Linked DNA regions of Lonchura striata. The protein of the gene in region 2 interacts with the protein of the main gene of each other region in a pairwise test. Links are inferred from orthologs where the notes say so. Each region holds a gene or a part of one and is shown on either strand. Other genes may lie near its edges.

Region 1 (3,746 bases), on a different chromosome or scaffold from region 2:
CTCCAGTGAATCAAATTTAAAAAACCCAAAACCCCAAACCATAAGTAGGTCTCTAACAGTTCTCAGGCTGCAGTTTCACAGCAATCTAAGCCAAACTAACTTCTGACTGGCATAGGCTCTTACCTCCCTCTGGCTGCATGTTCCTACTCTTTCCCTTGTGCCAGCTTCAACATTCACCCAAAACCATTACAGTGAGCTGAATCAGAAGACTCCCAACCACTGAAGAGAACTAGAAAAATATCGCTCTGCTTGGACAACACACCAGAACAGGCTGGTGCAGGCTCTAGCAAGCAAAGGGGCTCCGAGTGAGCAGCCACCCAGTACATCAGCCCAGGCTACCACCTAACCACAACTCTAGTGACTTCACTCACCAACAGGTTGGACGAGCAGCAGAGCTGACACACAAGAGAGAGCAGAAGAGCACATCCCCAAAGGAGATCACACCTCTAGAGCAGCAGCTAGCTGTTAGCTTAATCTAGCTAGCTTCATCCTACAGCAATGCAGTACATGGTGCAGCACAACTGGAACTGGCTTCAAGGGAAAATACTACTTCCTCACTGCAGAGCCTCCTGAGCTCTGCTTCCCCAATAAACCACTGCTAAATAAGTCTGAGCATTCAGTAAGTCAGAAGCCCTTGTGAACTTTCACCTTTCAGCTCCCACTTTGCACACATGCCTTGCACTGGCAGGACAAAGGTGATCAATTGCCCTTACACCGACATGCACCGGCTGAACATAGCAAAAATTTGAACTGCTTGCATTCACAATTGGTTTAACAGACTGAAATACTTAAATTGACAGCCTGCTAAGGTGCCACTAATTTTTTTAAACCCTACAACAAAATATCTCACAGGCTTAGTTAAGACCTATTTATATTACCATTGCAACCACACATTACATGCAAAAAAGCCCCACTAATTTTCAACAGGTTTGTAAACAAAAGTATGTAAATAAAGGTCAAGTAAGGGAAGAGCAGCAAACTCATCTACTTTGGATGATATTCTTCATTGATGCCTTAAGAATACTCCGCTGGGAGTCTTAGTAGTGTTTTCCAGCGTAGAGATGTGCAAACAGATGGAAAGAAGGCGAGACTGCTCAAGCAGAATGCTGTTCATTCACACATACTTTACACCAGTAAGGTAAACAAACAGTGCTGGCCCCATTTCAATCGGTGGCTGTCAGGAAAAAATACTAGTAAAAATTGAAAAAACACCTTTCATTACTAGTTAATAGCACTGTGCCAAAGACAAATTCTGGGAACAAGCTTTGTCCAACAAGAAGGTGGCAAAGGTTACATACATATATGAACTGTAGAACCAATTCTATGTTTTCTGCTAACAAAAACATCTAGAAGAAACACCTTTGGAAAACAGGTATCATAACCAGTAGCACAAACATTTTGCTCTGGAGGAAACCATGCAGGAACCAACACTGATTTTCTGCACTTTACCCCATACAAGGTGAAACCCTGCAGACATGCCAAAGGACAGTGGTTTCAATAGGGTCCTGCTAATCCTGCACCTGTACAGGCATTGGCATAACTTGAGCCACTCACTAAAGGCCACAGGGCCTGCCTGTTCAGTTTTCCTCTAGCATCCCTCATGCTGCTGTGTTTTTATCTACTGCAAAAGGGACTCAATTTCTTGTTGCTCAAATGGATGCAAACTCACATGAATTGCAAAGGGTGCTATATTGTTACAGTTGTACTATAATTACTAAAAATCAGAATATTTGGAATTCAACTATGTAGCATGGCTGAGATTTTACCTGGAAACAGACATTATGAAATGATTCATTCTGGAAGGGATTTTACACTGACAGAAAAAGAAATGTTGCATTCACACCTCAGTGACTACAGGACAGTGGCACGCATGTTGACCCTCAATTAACAGTGATCTTCAAATTATATAATTTCAGCTGCTGCCAGGATCCACTTGAGTTCATAATTTCAAACAAAAGCTTGTTGTTGTCCATGTTTCTCTACAATGACAATCTGCTCACTCCCCAGCTCCATTCTTTCTCAGATGCACTGGTTCTCACCTCTTTGACGGGGCCTGCTGTCCATACCTACATAGAAATGGCTGAAAGTGAACAACTTTGCTATCTAGATGTTCCTCTACCTTGGCACATTTAATTTCCCGATGGAGCAACCTATTCACCTGGACATGTCTGTGCTAGTCCGCACGTGCCCATGCTAGCTTCAGGGTGGTGAAACGGTGGAACAGGTTGCTCAGAGAAGTTGTGATGCCCTATCCCTGGACGTTCTCAAGGACAGGTTGGATGGGACTCTGAGCAACCTGGTCTAGTTGAAGGAGTCCTTGCCCACGGCAGGGGAGTAGGAACCGGGTGGTCTTTAGGTCCCATCTAACTTAAACCACTGTATGACTGTGGTGAGCGCAGAGCGGGAGCAGGCTCTGGGGGCGGCCCGCGGGCACACGCCTGCGGCCCGGGCGCACCTGAGCTGAACCGCGCTGCCCTGGGGCGAGGCCGCCGGGGCGGCACACCTTGGGGCGGCACCTCCAATGCCGCCCAGCCCCCGACAGGAACCCAGACACGGGGAGCGGGCCAGGGCCAGCCCAAAGGACGCGACGCCGCGGCCCGCCGCGCCCTCGCCGCTCACCTGCTGCCGAGCTCAGCGCGACCCTCCGGTGCCTCCTGCCGAGCTCCCGCAGCTCCTCCTCGTCCTCCTCCAGCCTCCAGGCTTCGGCCATCGGCGGCGGCGGGGCAGCTGGCAGCATTCAAGAAGCGGGAGCTGCCATGACCGGCGCGCTCTCTCCGGCGCGGCCGCCCGGCCCTCGCGGCCGCCGGGCCCGCCCCGCACCTGCGCCCTCTCCGCCGCGCTTCTCCCGGAGACCGCTCCGCGCTGCTGCCGGCGGGGCCAGGCGGGAGCAGAAGCGGCCTTTCCTGCCCATCCGCGGCTCTCCGGCGTCAGCAGGAAACCCGGCGGCCGCCTGGCACCGCCACAAAAGGGGGCGGAGGAGGCGGCGGCGGGGGGAGGTACCTGGCTGCCGGCGCTGGGCAGCCGCGCTCCGCCGGGCGGCTCCGCCGGGCGCCGCGCGGGGATGGGCCGGGGAGCGGCGGGCCCGGGCGGGCTCCGCCGAAGGGCCGACAGGGTGCGAGGTCTGCCTCGCCTCGTGACCACAGCACGGAGATGCCAGACTCTTTTTCAGTGGTACCCAGCGACACAACAAGGAGCAATAGCCGTAAACTAAACCACAAGGAGTTCCACCTCCACGTGAGGAAGAACTTTACGTTGAGGGTGCCAGAGCACTGCCCAGGGAGGTCGTGGAGCCTCCCTCTCTGGAGACACAAAGCTCACCTGGACACGTTCCTGTGTTACCTGCTCCAGGTGACCCTGCCTTGGCAGGGGGCTTGAACTAGATGACCTCCTAACAATTCTGTGAGCCTGTGAGGTGGCAAGGGCAGTTGTGCATAGAAAGTCGGGAGCCCCGGGAGCTGTGGGAATTGTAGGTGCAGCATACTGTGGCCCCGATGTTGGCTGAGGGCTGGGGGCAGGCAGGTTTTTGACCGGCAGCAGTTGTGGTTCACGGCTAGGAGGATGTGTGTCTTGGCCCGAGTTCATTACCGTGGTTTGAACTACTTAAGAAGGACCTACTTGAAACCAGTGAGGTACACACTTAACACAGCTGTAGTGATATGAAAAATATGGCCACGTTTTAAGTTGGACGCCGGTGTGGTTTTACCTCTAATTTCTCCCCACCCCCAGGGCCCTCAGTCACCCATATC
Region 2 (3,746 bases):
TAGAGAGAATAAAAATCTAAGATGAAACCCAGATGTACAGTACAGAATAGCGCTCTATGATACCATGAAAAAAAAATTAACTACCTAAGCAAAATACAGACTCTGCTTATTTCCCAATCAATACTGAACACTTCTGTCAAGAAAACTGTCACCATCATTCTGATTCTCTCATTTCCACACTTCATAGATGTTCCAATTCACTATGTGCATGAATCAAATCTTAGAGGTCAACAATTCCTACAACTAATTAATTACTACAATTAATCAAACAAGAAACATTTCTTCAAGCTAAAGGGAATAAACCTTTAAAAAGTGAAGGTATTTCATATTTATTTATCAAGAATTAGAAAAACCCTAGTTCTTCCTAAGATCTTAGATTATCTTGTTCACAAGAGTGTTTCTTCTCCATTAAGTCATACAGGTTATCCTCCATGACAGCCCTGCATTAGAGGATCTTTTACAATAATGCAATTACTGTTTCAAAAGCCTCCAAAATATGGAGAGCTTATTACACTATAAAAAATAATTCTGAAGGGTGAGAAACTATGACATGATGTACAGTGAATTATGTCACAGTCCATTTCAAAGCATGAAGTTTTTCATTAGCTGAAGGCAAAAATTTGTCTTTCTTCCACTGCTGAGGGCTGAAAATTACAGAATCATTTAGGTTTGAGAACACCTCTGAGTTCATAAAGTTCAACCTTTGACTAATCACCACTTTGTCAGCTAGACCACAGCTCTAAGTGTCATGTCCAGTTGTTCCTTGCACACTTTAAGGGATGGTGACTCTACCAACCTCCTAGGGCAGCCTGTTCCAATGCTTGATAATCCCCCTTCAATTATATTGTGGAATAACACTTAAGGATCCTCCCCAGTCCCCTCCCAAAGACAGGGAAACATGAAAGACTTTGTCTCAAAATTAGAGCTGAGCATGTGCCTACATGTGACATACACAGCTACAAACACAGGGTTTTATAGGAACTCCAGGACAGCCTCTCAAAGCACTCGGCTTCTATAGAGAGCCTCACCCTCCCCAGCCCACAAACACAGGAATGGGTGTGCCGGAGGGGGGAATCTGCTTCCAGTGGCGACACCGCAAGGGACTGCATGTGGCAGAAAGCAGGACTGAAGGCACTCTGCACTGCTCAGCCATGTAGTATGGCAGAGCCACATGTGAGAATGCCACAACTGACTCATCTCAGCCTCCTTCACCAAGGCCTCGTCTGACAAGTAAGGAGAGCCCTTGCCCCTGCCTGGCTCCCCACCTCACACCCCGACACCTGCGAGCTGGCCTGACAACAGCAGGATGCTGCAGGCACTGGGGACAAAAACCACGCTGCTGATTACCAATTGCTTCCACTGCCAAGTCAAATAACTAGATAATTTTTAAAAAGTGGTTGTACAACTGTATTTACAAAAGAAGCTGCATATGCAGGATAGCATTTCAAGCTGCATAAAAAGAAATGTGCAGTTTGCTCCATTCCACAGCAAACATTATACAAGCTCTTCAGCTTTCATTTGCAAGTCACAGATCTCGCACAAAATTAAGATTCTGGCATTTTTTATTGAACCTCCAAAGTGCTGCATTTTGACCAGAAGACCAGCCAAGCAGGTCTTTAAAAACCAACAGAGGAATCCAGTCCTGACCACACCCGGCCATGGTGGGGCTGCGTCTGCTGCTGTTACAAAACCCAGCCAGGTACAGAGATACAGTATACAGGACAGCCCAGCAGAAAGGAATAGAAATAAATACCTCCAAAAGTTTTAAAAATTATATAATTAAAAATATAAATAAAATATAAAAACGTATGTGGATATATATACATACATATATATATATATATTTTACAATACATTGTAGGTATATATCACCTATCTATATTATACATAGATATAAAATACAACTAAATAAAACAAACTAAAAACCAGACACTCGAGCTGCCCTGGAAAGCGAAGCGCCCCTGTGTTCAATTTCACCAGCAGCCTGGCGAGGCCAAAGCCGCATTCGACGCTTCTAAGGTTTTTAGGTGGAGGACACAGCACGCGCAGCGACCCCGGGCGAGAAGAGGCTGCGGTCCCGCCCGCGCTGTACGAGCGCGTTCGCTCCGCCCGCGGGGCGCGGGGCGGCTCCGTGCCCGCCGCTCCTGCCCCTGAGGAGCCCCCCTGGCCCCGGGACCCCCGCTCCTGCCCCGGGGGATACTCACTCCTGCCCGGGCCGGGGCGCGCCCGCTCCCCCTCGCTCCCTCTCCTCCTGCCGCCGCTGCCGCCGCAGCCTCACTGGGCGGCGCCGAGGCGGCCCCGCCGAGCCGCGCACCTGCCGCAGGTGAGGCGGGCGGGGCAGAGGCGATTGCGAAGCGCCCGCTCCCCGTCCCGGCAGCGGCTCCGTCCCGTCCCTTTTCCCGGTCCCGTCCCTTCTCCCTTCCCGCTGTCCCGGGCCCGTTCCATACTTCGCTCCTTTCCCCCCTCCAAACAGGCAAATCCCTCGGCCGCCTATAACCGCCGGTGCCGTAAAGCGAAGCGCGGGCGGTGCGACAGCTGCGAGGTCCTCTGAGGAAGATGGCGGCGGGGGAGGCGAAGTCGGTGCTGTTCGTGTGCCTGGGTGAGCGCGACAGGGACGGCCGCTCCCGCCGCACCCTCTGCCTCCGCTCCGCTCTGCCCCGCCGCTCCTCGGCCCGGGGCACCGCCGGGGTGGGGCGGGAGCGCGGTGAGGCAAGGGCCGGGCCGGGGGAAGTGCGGCACCCGCCGCGGTGCCGCCCTCGGACGGTTCCGCGGGTTTGCCGTGTCGGGGAGGGCCCGAGTAGTAGCCGGGAAGTGAGAGAGAAGGCGGAATACAGCTGCGCCCTTTTTGTGATAGGAACGACGAGGAAGGGCTTGGCATTGAGGGCAGAGCACTGGAGCAGGTTGCCCGGAATGGTTGTGAAATCTCCCTCTCTAGAGACGTTCCCATCCCATCTGGACGCATTCCTGTGTAACCTGCACTAGGTGACCCTGCCTCGATAGGGGAATTGCACTAGATAATGTCCAGAGGTCCCTTCCAACCGTAATGGTTTTTTGATTCTGTGAAAGTAGTAGGAAGTAGTGAAGAAGGTGAAATGCAGTGTTGACAAACACGAATCTTGTGTGTGGGAAAGTGCAACACCTAAGTAGTCATAAACCAGCTCTGACCTAAGGCTGCTGCTTGAGGGCAGCACGGAGAGGTGGCTTTGAGCAGCGTTCTGATACGGGCTGTGCAGCACTTGGCCTCTGGAACAGCGGGGTAGGATTGGGGAGCCTGCCCGCAGGCTTGATGTTGGGAGCACTTGACGTGGGAAGGGGAGAGAAAACCACAACACGAACCACTGAAGTTAATGTAAGAGCTGCTGTAAAGACAGGGAAAGAAGGGTAGGACTTCAAGTAAAAAAAGGAACTTGGTGGAGGCTGATCTGTTATGATCTAATAATGAAATTCTTGATCTGGTATGGAAATGAGTGAAAAGAATTAAGACTTTTTTGAAATGCTAACAAAATGAAGAAACAGGAAACTTCCTTTTACTGATACTTTCTATGGTTAAGTTGTAAATCTTGTCATGCAAAGTCCCAGAAAACAGAAGTTTGATGTGATCAGAAATCACCTGAATGCTTTTCTGGAGTTTAGGACAGTCGATTACTGGTAAACAAAATAATAACAACCAGCAAATAGCTAACCTGACAATACAGATTACAGAGCCATGCCCCATTTTGTACATACTTTTGCTAAACTTCTGCTTT

What was found. The genes of interacting proteins can lie anywhere in the genome.
Region 1: the proteins of SH3YL1 (region 2) and SH3D19 interact in binary tests that used the Homo sapiens proteins (3 or more experiments, as listed by UniProt). The link is inferred for Lonchura striata from reciprocal best matches to the Homo sapiens genes SH3YL1 and SH3D19.

Annotation. Positions count from the first base shown.
Region 1 is NC_134606.1:43,631,750-43,635,495, reverse strand, and holds the start of SH3D19 (SH3 domain-containing protein 19), read right to left. Parts: upstream 2,977-3,746; 5' UTR 2,738-2,976; coding exon 2,620-2,737; intron 1-2,619. UniProt on the Homo sapiens protein: May play a role in regulating A disintegrin and metalloproteases (ADAMs) in the signaling of EGFR-ligand shedding. May be involved in suppression of Ras-induced cellular transformation and Ras-mediated activation of ELK1.
Region 2 is NC_134605.1:94,425,865-94,429,610, forward strand, and holds the start of SH3YL1 (SH3 domain-containing YSC84-like protein 1), read right to left. Parts: upstream 2,493-3,746; 5' UTR 2,449-2,492; coding exon of another isoform or gene 2,448-2,448; 5' UTR 2,206-2,447; coding exon 2,205-2,205; intron 1-2,204. Other genes in the region: ACP1 (low molecular weight phosphotyrosine protein phosphatase), read left to right, coding at 2,557-2,599.